Rhinolophus ferrumequinum: one gene and its partner. The protein of the gene in region 1 interacts with the protein of each later gene in a pairwise test. Links are inferred from orthologs where the notes say so. Each region holds a gene or a part of one and is shown in the gene's direction. Other genes may lie near its edges.

The links.
Region 2: the proteins of ARL15 (region 1) and UNC119 interact in binary tests that used the Homo sapiens proteins (3 or more experiments, as listed by UniProt). The link is inferred for Rhinolophus ferrumequinum from reciprocal best matches to the Homo sapiens genes ARL15 and UNC119.

The regions. Positions count from the first base shown.
Region 1 is NC_046290.1:33,675,325-33,682,719, reverse strand, and holds the start of ARL15 (ADP-ribosylation factor-like protein 15), read left to right. Parts: upstream 1-4,386; 5' UTR 4,387-4,480; coding exon 4,481-4,528; intron 4,529-7,395.
Region 2 is NC_046304.1:18,870,483-18,878,355, forward strand, and holds the start of UNC119 (protein unc-119 homolog A), read left to right. Parts: upstream 1-4,864; 5' UTR 4,865-4,935; coding exon 4,936-5,161; intron 5,162-7,873. Other genes in the region: PIGS (GPI transamidase component PIG-S), read left to right, coding at 890-1,035, 1,593-1,693, 2,451-2,661, 3,011-3,286. UniProt on the Homo sapiens protein: Involved in synaptic functions in photoreceptor cells, the signal transduction in immune cells as a Src family kinase activator, endosome recycling, the uptake of bacteria and endocytosis, protein trafficking in sensory neurons and as lipid-binding chaperone with specificity for a diverse subset of myristoylated proteins.

The DNA.
Region 1 (7,395 bases):
TTATATGGCACGAGTGACTTTGCAGATGTGACAAATTAAGGATTTTGAGGTGGTGAGATTATCCAGCATTATCTGGGTAGGCCCCAAATGCAATCACAATTATCCTTATAAGAGGGAGGCAGAAGGAGGACAGACTACAGACGAGGAGAAGGCCATGTGACCACAGAGGCAGAGACTGGAGTGATGCGACCACAAGCCAAGGAATGCAGACAGCCACCAGAAGCTGGAAAAGACAAGGAAGGAATTCTCCCTTGGGACCTGCAGAAGGAACCAGCCTGCTAACACCTTGATTTTAGCTCCATAAAACTCAGGACTTCTTCTGGCTTGCAGAACTGTAAGAGAATAAATTTAAGACATTAACTTGGTGGTAATTTGTACAGTGGCAATAGGAAACTAATATTAATATAATCAGCAATGCAGTAGCGTGTCTAAGAGAGTAAATGATCCTGGGAAATATTGAGAGGGATTTGCACAGCTTCTTGATATTTGGTGCTTGAACAAGTCGTTGCTTGTGAGGTCTAGTTATATTTTCCTGGTATAATTATTTGTCACTCTCAGTGGTGATTCATTTTAAATGCCTTATCTTGGCTTTAGTATTCCAAGACCCAGTAAATCCATTTTGGAAGAGGTGAGTTATCTTTGTAGGTTAAGTCCTTGCTCTCCCAATCACATTCTGATCTCTTCCGTTTATGAACCAAGTTCTGTTAGTAGCTTCATGTGTGGTCACTCTGCTCTGGTGAGGTTCATCTTATAAGATACAGTGGTACTTTGTTTAGGTTTAGGAAATAGGGAAGGGGACTGGGGTAAATCAGATGTTGGGAGGTCAAGGCCCTGCAAAGGGCTCAGAAGAGAATTTTAAGGTCACAGGGGTTATTGGAGCAGTAAGTGAGCAAACAAAGTACCTGATGACCTGTGCAGATTTCAGTGTGTTGACACCTCCACTTTTTCTGAAACCATTGTCCATGGTTTAAAAGTTACTCTGATGAAAGATTCCATCCCTTAGCAATTAAGGAATAATATATTCAGTCAAGGCAAGAATGAGGCAAGATAAGCACTCTGGGGCCAGGGTGGGGAAATGAGTATAAACTAGTACAAAATGAGTATTAAAAGTATTGTACCCTTTGTACCAGTAATTCCATTTCTAGACATTTTCTCTAGAATACTGAGATGTGAACAATTTAATAAGCAACCATTCACGGCAGTATTTATAACAGTAATATATAACAGGATTTGTTAACATAGCACATTTATACAATAGAGCTTTATATAGCCATTTAAACATTTATGAAGACTTTCATGATATGGTGAACTTTATATATTCAGCATGCATGATACAAAACTAGCAGAGAGAGTATTCTTCCCAAATTTATGATGTATCAAATGAACAACAAAAAAGGAGTAAATGGAAATAGTCACTAACATGTTGGTTTTTCTGGATGGTAGAATTTGGGAGACCAAGTTGCAAAAATGCATTTCTGTTTTTGTTTCCTACAAGAAACACTTTTACAAAAAATTTCCTCCAGTGTTGTTTATGGAATTGTAGAGTATAGACTGGCGAAAGAATTTCTCCTTGCTTTTGACAAGCGACAGTGAGGGCCTCTATCCTCAACTTGTATAGTAATGCAATTACCTCATGAGTTTATACATGTTTTCTTATGCATCTGGAAGAGAGCAAAGGCCGGACTACATTAATGAGATCATGTTTATTCAAGACTGCAGTCTGTTACTTGGCATATAGTGGGATAGGTTGAATGAATGCATTCTCACCTCTCAACACTCTCTTCTTAAAAGCACAAATTGGGAGGATTACTGCTATTGCTACCAACTTTATGACTTCAGCTTCATGTAATGCGTGGTGTATTATCTATTTATACCAGCAAAATCTAGAAGTTGGCCTCTTCTGCACAAGAGTGGACATATTAACATCCCAGAAGATTAACATCTAATTAGAAGAATGTGCTCCTTAGGGAGTTCTGAAGCTTCAGGTTTTGGGGGGTGTGTGTGTGTGTGTGTGTGTGTGTGTGTGTTTTCCTTCCTAAGGACTCTTTTCCAAAAGGCAATACATGATTCTTTTATTATATTACAGTAAACACAAGGTTTTCCTTGGTGCCAGTTATAACGAATGTGCAAATGGTGTGGAACAGGGAGGGTACTATGGTGCAGCCTTTGGAACTTTTCCATCTCTCTGCTTTGGACCCATTTACTAATTCCTAAAGGCAGAGTGACCATGTTTAGCCTAATGACCTTCTGTTCAGGACTTTCTCTAAGGTTAGCTTTTAAAGGAAGGGCAGAGCCAACTGCTCCTGGGTGATTTTCTTCCCCTGCATAGAAACTGACAGGCCTCTGAGGAGTCTGACTTGGCAGTCGTGAAGACATCATTTATCACTAAGAAAATGGGCCAAAAAGTGTCTCTTTGCTAATTCAAGCTCTATCTTATTTGCAATATGCTTATGCATGGAAAGAAGGCAAACAAACAAACAAAAACAAGTTTCCTTGTCTATTTGAATTATTTTTGCTAGCAAGTTTGAGAGGATTTTAACTTCTGCAATTAGTTTCAAGCAATTGTGCTATTGGTTTATGGAAGTTCTTCACCTCCAGAATCCAGGTCAAAATCTCTTCTAAACCTACACGTGTTTGACCTAGAATGCTAAGAAAAATCAAAATTGGATCTAATGACATAATGCAATTGAGTCTAGTTAGCTTCTGCATAGGCAAAAACTCATTGAAATTTCTTTAGAAATGTTTATACACATCCCTTGTCTGTAAATTAGATGAGCAAAATCAAGCTCTGTACTAATAAGTTCCTTCAAAAAACCCTCTAGCCATAGGAATTCTCATTTCTCAGCTGCAAGATGAGATAGGATACCCAAAACCTCATGGCTCACCACCTGGAGCTCCCACTGAACAGCCACACTCCCTTCTGTTCCTGGTTTGTACATATTTAGAGTGAATTCCACTGTTATCTAATAGAACGGTTTTGGTGGCCCCAGGTAAGCTTATTGTATAAAAATTCATTCCTGAGGATACAAAAGAGAAAGCTGCCAAGTTGAGGGAAAATAAAAATCCAACTCCTAAAACAACTTTTATACCAGTTAGGTAGTCGCTTCAGAAAGATTTAAGTTCAAGTTTCACTCTTGAAACGTTATTGTATGGAAGCCCCAATAATATGTGAGAGCAATCCCTCATCCTCCTTAACCTGTGGGGGGGCACGTCAGTCACCTGAGCCTGATACCATAGATATGGCTGGCATTGTTGTTGTTGTTGAATTGGTTATTCATAGCCTCTGTCATAAATAAATAAATAAATAAATAAATAAATAAATAAATAAATAAATAAATAAAATAAGCGAGCCTTGAGTGTTCTTATCCAGCTTTCCTCCTCCCCAAACTTAATGCTCCAAACTTAATAGTGGAATCTCTGCCGATTTCCCAGTTTTTTTTTGTTTTGTTTTTTTACCAGGTCTCAGGTGCACCTGCTCATAGATATTTTTACCTCTTACAATGACAACGGGTCACAAATACTTTATAACTTGGGTCTTTTCAGAGAGCTTCTCATTCTATTGCTCATTTTCTTCAGAGCCGATGATTTGTGCTCAGTGTAATTGGGACTCAAAACATGCAATTAACTGACCAGTTTCTTCTTCCCAAGTGTTGGAGGTCTACAATCAACTCTACCAAGTTCCCCAGCTGGTTTTCTTTGCCTTTCACGTGGTGGAGAGCGAATTCTGCAGGGGCAATCTGATTAGAGGTAGCCTCCTGGATTACCTCTGGCCGTGTCGGGGGCTTCTCTGTCACCCCAGGGACATCAGGCTGGAGCTGTCCGCCTTCTCAGTTTCACATCTAATTGAAGGTGGGGAGGGGCCGTCCCCGAGTCACAGGCTTGCCAGTTCAGCATACTGTCCTACACACTTCGAGGGTCCCCGTGGGGCCGTCTCGAGGCTGCAGAACCTTCAGGAAATAGCTCCGAAGAGGGACACTAAGTGTCAGTGGTTACCACTCCTCCGGCGTTTCGGCTCTAGCTTCCTCCCGGGGGTGGGGAGTGGGAGGGGACATTAACGCTCTCCAGCACTGGAGCAGCTCTGCTCCGCTCTACCCAGTTAGGACACTATGGAAGCACAGAACTCCGGAGGCAGCGGCACCCGCCGATTTTCCGCTCTTCCCTGCTCGCTCTTCCGCCTGCGCCGCCCCAGCTCCCGCCCCTCCGCCCTCTTCACAGGAACCAGGGCCCTCGACGCTCCCGCGCTTCTCTCCTGCCACCCGCAGTGGCCTGCATTTTATAGGCGCCACAGCCAATAAGCGCTCTCCTTTTCTTCTGCCCGCCCTCCCGGCCAATCGCCGCTCCCCTTGTGTAATCTTCGGCTACTCGGCTGCTCTCGGCTATATTCGTCGTTGCTGGCTTTTTCAGGGACTGCTCGCTCGCAGCCAGAGACGCTGCTTTTTTTTCCGGGTTCGGAGCCGTTCCGGATGCTTTAGGCTGCCGGATGACTGATCTCCAGATAACTGAGGCGTTTCTGTACATGGATTATCTGGTAGGTGTGGGGAGGGGGTGGCGTGTCGCCTCTCGGACCCCGATGTGCCTACTGTCCCCCGCCTGGAGGAACAGCCTTTTTGCTTTCTTTCTTTGGGATAGGATGCCTTGGGGTTCTTTCTCCCGCAGCCGGCTCTAGAACTGTGCGGGGGATTCGGAGGGGCGGGCGGAAGGGGTGGTAGAGCTGACAGGTAAAGGTGCAAGCCGGATCAGCCTCCCTGCGGGGCGAGGGGCTGGCTGGGGCTGCGGGAGAGATGGGGCCGCGGCGGCCGGGCGTCCCCTGCCCGCGATCGACTTCTTTGCTTCCCCCTGTGCTCCCCGCAAAGCACTTTCTTTCTGGGGAAGCAGGAGTTTTCCGCTCTCCCTTTAGCAGAACTCCAGGTACTATTAAAGAGCCATAACCAGAATGGCTCACTAAGTGCCCGGCAGCCCCGGTCATTTGGTTGTTATTAGATCTCTAAAGCTATGACCTCGGTCGCGGCGAGGTTTTAAAAGCACATTACCATAAAGTACACGGGACTAAACTGCATCGCAGCCTGGCCAGAACAGGACTGGGTAGGGGCAGGTATTGCCCCACCGTTACGGTCGTGGTTGCATGCCTCGTTTACCATGTGCATGCATTGGATACCAGTTAGTTGCATGTTTAGGCCAGGCTTGTGCTGAGAAGTTTAGATGGAAAAAGTGTCAGCACAATGTTGGGACTGAACATTATTTTAAAAATAGACGTGTGTGTGTGTAATTATGCAAGCACCTTGTATTGTTCCAGAAAGAATATATTCTTGCAGAAAGTATATATTCCCCCAGAGCTGCATGTTTGTGTTCAAGGGGATCCTGATTTGACATTGGTTCCTTTCGATCCTATGCAATGACCAGGTTTACCTTGTTAGCCGGAACCGCTATTGCCATACATATTAAAGATGGTTCAAAACATTACCCTCCTGTCATCTTGCCCGACACATTCAGGCGGTTTTCGACTGTAGATTGGCCTGGCAGAGATTTTCCAGTGCCTTCTAGGAATTACACTTAACGCTGTATTAAGAAAGATTGAATGCTTTCATGATCAAGAGACGCTGGACAAGGAGTAGTTTGTCATGTTATCTTGTATTTGGGCTTTTTACATGAAGGAAATGTTTCTCCTAAAGCTTCAAGGTTTGATGATTGTGTGGGGAAGGGTGCTGATTGCAGTTAATACATGACCTTGTGAATGGAGCGGAGTAAAAAATTCTGAGTTCAAATTGTTTTGTTGTTCATTTGCTGATGTCAGTAACTTCCTCTATCTTTGGTGATAAAGGGACATTATCCACCCACACCTGGAGCCAGTTAAGGGATTATCTGATTGTGTGTTTTAAAATGCAGAGTGCTTTGTAGGTTAAGAGGGTTACCAAACATTTTTCAAAGATTATTTTCTAAATTAAATAACTGATTATTTTGTAGCTTGTCTTATAAATACAGTACTATGGATTTTCTTACAGTAGCCCATATTAAAGCCAAAGTTTGTTGAGGATAATTGCCAAGTAGGAAAGGGTAGCATTACCTGTACTATTGAAAACTAATTTTGGATACTTAAGTAGTGCCTAAAAAGGAGTCAGGTAGTTCTGATCATTTTATTACAGTATTTTCTTTATTTACTGAATGAGTTTTAAATTTACAAATTGCATTATAAAGCTGTCTTTGAGGTGCCAAACCCACTAAAGCATTTAGTGAGAAAAAAAATTGAAAACTCAGATTAATTTCTAGATGGAGAGTCTAAGGGTGGGTGGGTGAATGTGTGTGGGACTTTAGGCTACCTTAAAAGCAGATAAATTTCTTTGTTAATTTACTAACAGTTTTGTGTCAAAATCAGTGGGCCTCAAATTTGACATGGCCTTTTTGTTTTTATATCTATCCCTCCCTGTCGCCCTATTGCGTTGGTATAAAAAAAATCATTATTTGGTCACTTTAACTATACTCTTAAATAATTCACATGTGCAGTGAAACAGCCCCATAAAAATCATTGACTAGTCTTTTGAGGTGAGGAAAAAAAATCTTAAAGGAAATAAATCAGTTTTTGTGTGTGCCAAGTATCCCCTGTGACAAGATTTGAAATCCTTGAACATTAAGTTCAGTTTTTTACTGAAACTGGACTGAAAAAACACACACACAAAACCTCTTGAGGTTGTCTTTTGTGTTTACTTTTTGCTTATCTACTCGCAGAGAAAATGGTATGCCACACATCATTCCTTCCTTCTTGCCTGTCAGATTGACTTGTTTTCTTATACATAATCTTTATATGGTGTTTATTAAAAACCTGTTTCTGAAAAATGAAAGTCACTTTTGTTGACTGTATTTGGGGTCTTATTTTTAAAACAAATCAATTCCTAAGTTATTTTTACTTGCCTTCCAGAAAAAAAAAAATGTTCCTTTCATTCTGAGTTTGACTCTCAGATTTTGCTGAGCTTGTGGACTAGAGTAAGCACCCTGTCCATGAACTTGATAAGAATAATGGTGTGCCATCTTTCCTTCATTTTTCCTTTTAACAGGTGTTAGACTTAGTTGTTGTTGTTGGAAGCTGGAAGAGGAAGCTTTGTGTGTGTATGTATTGTCCATTGTTCTTTGGACTGGATGTCATCACTTAATCTTTGTTATTTGGAGGAGAATAGAAAGGAAGAGAAATGAGAGAAAGGTAGAGGTGCTATTTTTAACAGCTTTTAATAGGATTGTGGCATTAAAACAAATGATGAAGCCCTGATTTTAGAACTTGCTGTTGATTTCCTAATGGAAAAGAAATATTCTCAATGAGAGGTGACAGATAAGTTGAGGGACAGGGATAGTGCCTTAATATTTAAGGTAGGGTTTTTATTGATTTCAGTTCAGGGAGATAATGATAAT
Region 2 (7,873 bases), on another chromosome or scaffold:
CCTTAGCAAGTTCCTTCCTTCTTTCTTTCCTTCCTTCCTTCTTTCCTTCCTCCCTCCCTCCCTTCCTTCCTTCCTTCCTCCCTTCCTTCCTTCCTTCCTGCCTGCCTCCCTCCCTTCCTTCCTTCTTTCTTTCCTTCCTTCCTTCCTTCTTTCCTTCCTCCCTCCTTTCCTTCCTGCCTTCCTCCCTTCCTTCTTTCCTTCCTCCCTCCCTCCCTCTCTCCCTTCCTCCCTTCCTTCCTTCTCCTCTCCTTCCCTCCCTCTATCCCTCCCTCCCTCATTCCCTCCCTCTGTCCCTCCCTCCCTCCGTCTCTCCCTTCCTCATTCATTCAGCAAAGTCTGAGGGACTGCTTTGTGGCAGTGCTGAGTACAGAGGTAAAAGGGCATTTCAGACAAGAGAACTGGGCCCAGAAGTGTAGTGTGGTTGAACTGTGACAGTGACCGAGATGCTGCTGGCCTGGCAGGTGGGCGCCAGATCAGAAAGGACCACGTTAAGGAGCTAGAACCTGGTATAAATGGCTAGCCATTGAAGGATATTAAGCAGGGAACTGACATGAGGTCACATTTATACTTGTGCATAAAAAGAGTTATAGTAATACGGGTGCAATGCGGCAGGGCCAGCAGAGCTGTCTCAGACAGGTAAGGGGGGCCTGTTAGAGGAGAGGAGATTCCAGGGGCATTTGGGGGCTAAATTCATGTATGTGGTACATCTTGGGAGAATGTTCAGAGATTCTTTGCCACCGAAACTCAGGAGTGGAGGATAGCCTAGTGATTATCAGCTGGGGAGAATGAGGTCCAGCGTGAGTGACCAGCCAGGTAGAGGCCGACCTGAAACGAAGATCTAGATCCAACATGTTTTGATGTTCTGACTCCCCTTCTCTTTGTACCACAGGATCCAGCGCTGCCTCCCTTTACCCTGTGCTCAACTTTCTGCTCTATGTACCTGAGCTTGCCCACTCCCCTCTGTACATTCAGGACAAGGACGGGGCTCCAGTGGCCACCAACGCTTTTCACAGCCCCCGCTGGGGCGGCATTATGGTAATAGTCACAATGCAGACCCAGAGCCCAAGCTCCAGGGACAGACACATATTCCCTGAGATTATTCTCCTGTCATTCCTCTGGTGTCCTCCGTGGCCTAGCCTGGGGAGAGGCAGGGCACCTACGAGGTGAGGGTGCTGTGAGCTGTGCCCCTCCTCGGCCAGCCCCACTGCTGCTGCTTTCGTCAGTATTTCTCTAATGACCCTTAAGCAGTTTGCACTTACGGAGGACCCTTCTGTGTACATCATAGATCTTGGCCCTATTTGTGGGAGTCTTGCAAGGCTGGAAACTTCGTCTGCCCTGTTAGACTGGAAGTTTCTCAAGGGTAGGAACTCTAAAATGGAATAAAATGACCTCTTTTACAGGACTTTTGAGTGGGTAATGGAGATCATTTATGGAACGCTCCTAATCGGTATTCAAATAATAGTAGTATACCGTCAGGTTTGTCACTTCTAAAGAGCACAGACTATATCTTCCTTTTCTCTCATGGCCTCCAGAGCGTACAGGGCAGAGCTGTACACGGTGTGACACTGAGGCCACCTCATTTCCTGTTGCAGGTGTACAACGTGGACCCCAAAGCCTACAATGCCTCGGAGCTGCCGGTGAAAGTTGAGGTGGACATAGTGCGTGTGATGGAGGTGTTCCTTGCTCAGTTGCGGTGAGGTCCTGGGTGATCCCCTTGGGGGCCTGGCCCCTGACCCTACCACAGTCTCCTGGGCTGACTGGAATGACATCTCACCTAGCAGAGAGACGTTGGCTCTGCCTAGAGCCCGAGGAAACCAAGAAAGGTTTTCCAGAATCACTTCATCCTCCTAAGAACTAGTTGCTGACAAAAACTGCTTGAAGAAAAATAGACTCATGAATGTCAGGGAGTGTGATTAGGGGTGCTTAAGAAAAGAGCTGTTAATTCTTGTGTCAGCTGCCTGATCCCCTATGTTGAGGATTGTATGGCTGTGTCTGAGCTCATCAGGAAAGAGGATTCTGATTGATTAGCAACGTCTGCTCTGGGTGCAGGATGGGAGAGACGCAGCACGTATGTCTTGTCAGAGGTGGTCCTGGATCATCGCTTAACTAAGGCTCTATTGGCCCTAGTTGTCCGAAGAGAGGGTAGACAGGGTGAGAGGGGATTAAACCATGTTGGTGTTATCAAAAATGTTTTAGCCATGGAATCTTTTGTCAAACAAGATCTTGGAAATCCAATATAGAAACAGGTAAAAGCTGAAATACTGGTTAAAGCAGGGCTTGGGCACTGGATTGCTTAGTGTTGCCACTTACTCCCCAAGACCCTAAAGTACTTCCCTAAACCCCTGTGGGTCTGGATAAGATTGGAAATCTTTGTGGTTTTTGTAGGAGTCTTAGTCATTCTTCCACCTCCTAGTCTCAGCCCCTTTGACTTGACTTCACTGTTCCTACAGGCTGCTCTTTGGGATTGCTCAGCCCCAGGTGCCTCCAAAATGCCTGTTTTCCGGGCCTCAGAGTGAAGGGCTCATGGCCTGGGAGCTAGACCGGCTGCTCTGGGCTCGGTCAGTGGAGAACCTGGCCACAGCCACCACCACTCTTACTTCCCTGGCCCAGCTTCTGGGCAAGATCAGCAACATTGTCATCAAGGACGATGTGGCATCTGAGGTAAGCGGGCCAGGGATGGAGTCTGTGGCCCAGGATTGGGGTGGCCAGGGTGTGGTGAAACAGGCCCGTTCAAGTCCAGGGTATGTGTGGGCATGCCAGCCTTGAATGTCCCAGGCTTCCTCTAGAGGGCAGTGCCAGCCCCTCTGCAGGAGTCCAGAGGGGGTGGTGGGGTGAGGTTTTAAGCAGGCACTCAGAAAATACACCATAACCCTGTTATACTGGCCTCCGTATATCCTGGGCGAGTTCCAGGCAACCTGTCTGCTAGATGGAAGACACGGTAAGGCCCATCACCCCGCACTCCGCTTCTCCAATGCCTCGGACTAATTGGTAATCCCCTGCCCCCTCCTAGGTGTACAAGGCTGTAGCTGCAGTCCAGAAGGCAGCGGAGGAGTTGGCCTCTGGGCATCTGGCCTCTGCCTTCGTTGCCAGCCAGGAAGCTGTGACGTCCTCAGAGCGTGCCTTTTTTGATCCATCCCTTCTCCACCTCCTCTATTTCCCTGATGACCAGAAGTTTGCCATCTACATCCCGCTCTTCCTGCCTATGGCTGTGCCCATCCTCCTGTCTCTGGTCAAGATCTTCCTGGAGACCCGCAAGTCCTGGAAAAAGCCCGAGAAGACAGACTGAGCAGGGCAGCATCTCAGTAGGAAGCCTTTCCTTCTGGCCAAGGCGGGAGCTGTTAGACTGAGGGGCCTGCCATGAATGACTCTTCCCAGCCTCCTCTGTTGCCTCTCCAGCAACCAAAATATAACACTCGAAGATGGGTTCATCTTCCCTTCCCTTTCCATTCTTCTGGCTCATGTGTCCCCACCCCCATCCTCACAAGACGTATCATCTGGGTCTCCTTACCTGGCTTGAACCTGAAGGCCCTTTTCTATCTCCCTCTGGGGCAGCGGCAGCTTGTGCTCTGCCCTGGTCCTCAGAGTCCTCTTGCACTGACAGGGAGCATTAGGGGAAAACCTAGGTTGGTCTCTAGCCCCTCCCCGCCACACTTCTCTGTGACCCCTCAGGGAGAGCCCTAGCTCTGCTCTCATGGAAGGAGCCAGGTACAGGTCACCTCCAGCCGCTTCTCCCTTACTCTCCTCCCTCCTGGCTAGCTACTCCTGTTGGGTACAGCCTGGTGCTGTGTGTGTGGTAGAGGTTCCCTTCCCCCTTTCATAGAGGCAGTGTGATGCAGTGGAGAAAGTTCTAGACTTGGGATCAAATATGCCTGAATTCAAATCCTTGCTTCTGCACTTGTCATCTGGGGAGCTTTGAATAAGCTACTTAATCTCTCTGAGCCTCAGTTTTTCATTTGTTAAAACAGCACTAATGATACCTCTCTTACAAGGTGGTTGTGAGGATTAAATGTGATAAGCATTTGAAAATGTCTGGCATATTCCAGGCTCTCAATAAACACTGAATGTGAATTGGTACTTACCTTTTGTTCTTTATTCATGTGTAAGCAGTGGTTTCCTAGCATCTGTCCTCCTGGGCTCACAGGTCCACCCTGCTTCCACCTGGCATGTGCCCTTCCTGCCTCCCTGTCCTGGGGACCCTGTGGTGGCTTAGACACCGAGGCGGTTGTCCCTCAGCATGTCCTGGTTTGCCCAGCGAGGCTGCTAACATCCAGTTCTGCTTTTTAGCGCAGAGTCTGGGAGAGAATAGCTTGTACCAGTGGAAGCCCTCAGATACTAACTCATTCACAAATGGAAAAAAAGAATATATTGAGCAAGGGCTGCAACAGGCACTGTGCGAGGTGCTGGGATATTATAGAGAACACATAGGATCCCTGCTTTCCCAGAACTGATCTTTTAGGGGGCAGAGTCGTGAACAAGTAAAACTAATTTCAGATAATGCATTAAAAAGGAAAAACAGGCTGATCAGATAGTGACTGGGGTTAGTCCTTTAGATTGGGTGTGAGGCGGAGCCTTTGAGCAAGTGACATTTGAGCTGAGACTAGGACAGGGTGGGGAAGAGCATCCCAGGAGAAGACCCTGAGATGCGAACTCGCTTGCGGGGCAGAGTGGCCAGAGCACAGAAGAGGTAGCCAGGACCCCTTGAAAAAAATGAATGAAGCCCAGAGCGAGCCCTCACCCTACGCAGGGTGACTACCCCAGGTCAGTGCGCCCGCAGCTTTTCAGCTGGGGTGGGCTGGCGGTGGGCGGGGCCAGGGGCGGGGCGGGGCGGTACCTGGGGCTCCGGCCGGGGGTGGGGCTGCGGACGCTCCCCCTTCTCCGCTCCAGCCGGCGCAGGCAGCGGCGGCGGCAGCAGGCGAGCCGCGGCCCCGCGAGGCCATGAAGGTGAAGAAGGGCGGCGGCGGGTCCGGGACGGGGGCGGAGCCCACTCCGGGGGCCTCGGGCCTGAGCGTGGAGCCCAAGCCCGACCCGCGGCCGCAGGCGGAATCCGAATCCGGGTCCGAGTCAGAACCGGAGGCAGGCCCGGGGCCCAGGCTGGGGCCGCTGCAGAGGAAGCAGACGATCGGGCCGGAGGACGTGCTAGGGCTGCAGCGGATCACCGGCGGTGAGCACCGGCGAGGGAGCGCCGCCCGCGGGAAGGAGGGGGCCGGCGCGGCGCGCGAAGCCCCGGCCCCCGCCCCCCTTCCCGCCCTCCCCCTGCCTCCCCTCCCCCACCGGGGTACCCTCGTCTGTGTCCCCTACCCTCTTGCCTCCAAGCCTGAGATCTCCATGTCCCCTCTTCCCCCGATCTCCTGTGCCCCTCCTTTAGTGATTTATTTCCACCCCGCTCATTTTTGAGGAGTCCATCCCTCTTTCTCGTGGTGGAGGTGGGGCAGCAGCTGCAACTGTGACCCTTTCCCCATGGAGTTTTCAGAGCCCTTTGAGGCCTTTCTCTGCAGTAACGAGGAGGGGCGCTGAGTGCAGTCTGTCCCCATTCCCCACCCTGGAGGCTAGGAGGAGGCTGAGTTACATTAAAACCCTTAGGTCTCTCTGACCGTTAATGCCCTCACCCTGGATCCCCCAGGAAGTTTGGGGCCATCTCCCTCCCCAAGAAAGGACCTGAGCAGGAATCTTCATTGAGTTGGCTCTGGGCCCTCTCAAGGGAGTGGGTTAATGCCCGCCTTAGCCTGGACTAGGGCCTGTCCCCTTCCAGGAGGCCTAGAAGGTCTCCACTGTGGTTGAGTTTCTGAGCTGGACTGCCTGGGTTGAAGTCCCAGCTTTGCCATGTAATTAGCTGTGTGACCTTGGGCAAGTTACTTCACCTCTCTGAACATGTTCATCTGTAAAATGGGGATAATGACACCTACCTTATAGAGCTACTGTGAAAATAAATTCTGATTATTGCACAGTGCCTGGCATGCTGTGCATGCTCTGTAAATAGGGCTCTTTTATGAGTAATACTGAAGGCCCCACAGGACTGTTCATGGCTGCTGCCTGGAAGCAGACAACTGGGCATTCAGGGCAGGAGAGGCGGTCAGCATCGTCAGGGAACAAGGACTGGGAAGCCTCATGGCAGAGGTGGTGGCTGAGCCTCAAAGAACAGAAAGCATTTGGAGAGGCAGTGGCTCTCTACCTTGGCCTCATTCATCAGTGACCCTGTCCTGGCTCCCTCTGTGAGAGCAACTCTTGGGGCCTCTCTGTGGGGGTGGGGGTGCTAGAGTAGACTTGAGCTCTGGAGCTGCAAGAGCAGCAGAGCCCAGGGCTGCCAGACAGAACCATGGAAGGGACCATGATGGCAGGGCTAGGCCTGTACATCTGGGTCTCTGGGGGACCAACTTCTCCCTCCTCTCTGAGCTAGGCAGCCGCCATTCTTGGCTGGGCCCCCAGAGTGTTGAGCTGCCTTGCCCAAGCAGACACGGGTAGGGGGAGGGGGCCTGGACCAGTCTAATGTTGGTGCCAGTTAGGCTGTAATTGTCAACAGCAGCATTTAGGATTCAGGTTAGCTCTGGGGCAGAACTTCCTTATAGGATATCTGGGGGTTAGGACAACCTATCCAGGTCCTAGGTCACTTTAGAGGTTATTTTGCAAATATGGGGAGTTCTAGCCGACATACCACCATATATTTCCTAATTTGGAGGAAATTCATAACCCTTAAAGATGGATATCTGTGGGTGGTGAATAGGGGAAGGGGTTTCATAGGAGCCCTTTCCTCTGTAGAAATTGAGAACAGGGTGCCAGAGCTTTCCACCCTGGCACCTCTTGGTCTCTTCTGACCCTAATCACATAGGTCTGAGGTTTGCTTCTCCTGGATTACTGGACCATGAATCCTGCTTTGGAAGCTATTTGTGGCAGAGGGGAAGGGAGCAGTTGTATTCTGAGCCCTTGGCTACTGCCCCTGGGTTCCAGGCCTTGTCCTTCCCTGGCAGAAGGGAGGGAGTGGCTGTGGTGTCCTGAGCCGTTGGCATCCCCCATTCCTCACTCCCTCTAAGGACAGAGGGATTGATAGGTTGAGTTTGCAGCAGAAGAGACTGAGGTCAGACTGCGAGAAGTTGTTTCCAAATGAGAGAAGCTCCAAAAGTTGGAGACTGGAGGGAGGGGGGCTTTACAGGGAGCTGGGATCCTGCCCCCGGTTCTGCCACCTCCTTTCCCTGTGCCCTGCACCTTCTTTCTACATCTTTGGACTGGTGTTTACTTTCTGTGAAAATAAGGGTGAAGTAGGGGCTGTCCGCTTCCGTTCCTACTGCCCTCTCCCTACCATGGGCTGTGGTGGACCCTCCAGGGCTCAGGCCTCTCCCCAAGCGCTATGTCATCCCTGCTGGACCCCAGGGTGCTAGGTGGCTGCCTGGAGGCCTTCCTGGAGGGGGTTGCCCCGGGCTTGGGGAAGAGAGAATGACTTTACATTTACTTCCTCTTCCTGCCCCAGAGGAATAGGAGGTGGCTTAGGGGCCTGGAGGGTGATTTCCGGGCCTCTATGGGGAGGATGTGAAGCTGTGCAGGCTGACAGCACCAGAGCCCCTCACTGCCTCTCTCTGCTCCTTCCTATTTGTTGCCAGGGCCTCCGTGACCACTTGCAGTTGCTGCTACAAAAGCAGTGAGGGTTGGCTCAGGCCCTCATATTCCTGGGCTTCCTCAGGTGGGGTTCACCACTGTTCCCGGTTCCCCTTCTGGGCACTGAGGACTCCCAGATACCCCTATGCACACCCCCTGTTGCACCTGCCACACCCTCTTCCTGTCCTCCCTGTACATATTCTCTCTGGGAGTGGCTCAGAGCCAAGGCTGGGTAGATGACCTTTCAAGGGGTTCCCTCTATTTGCTAAGACTTCCTCCCATTTGGAGA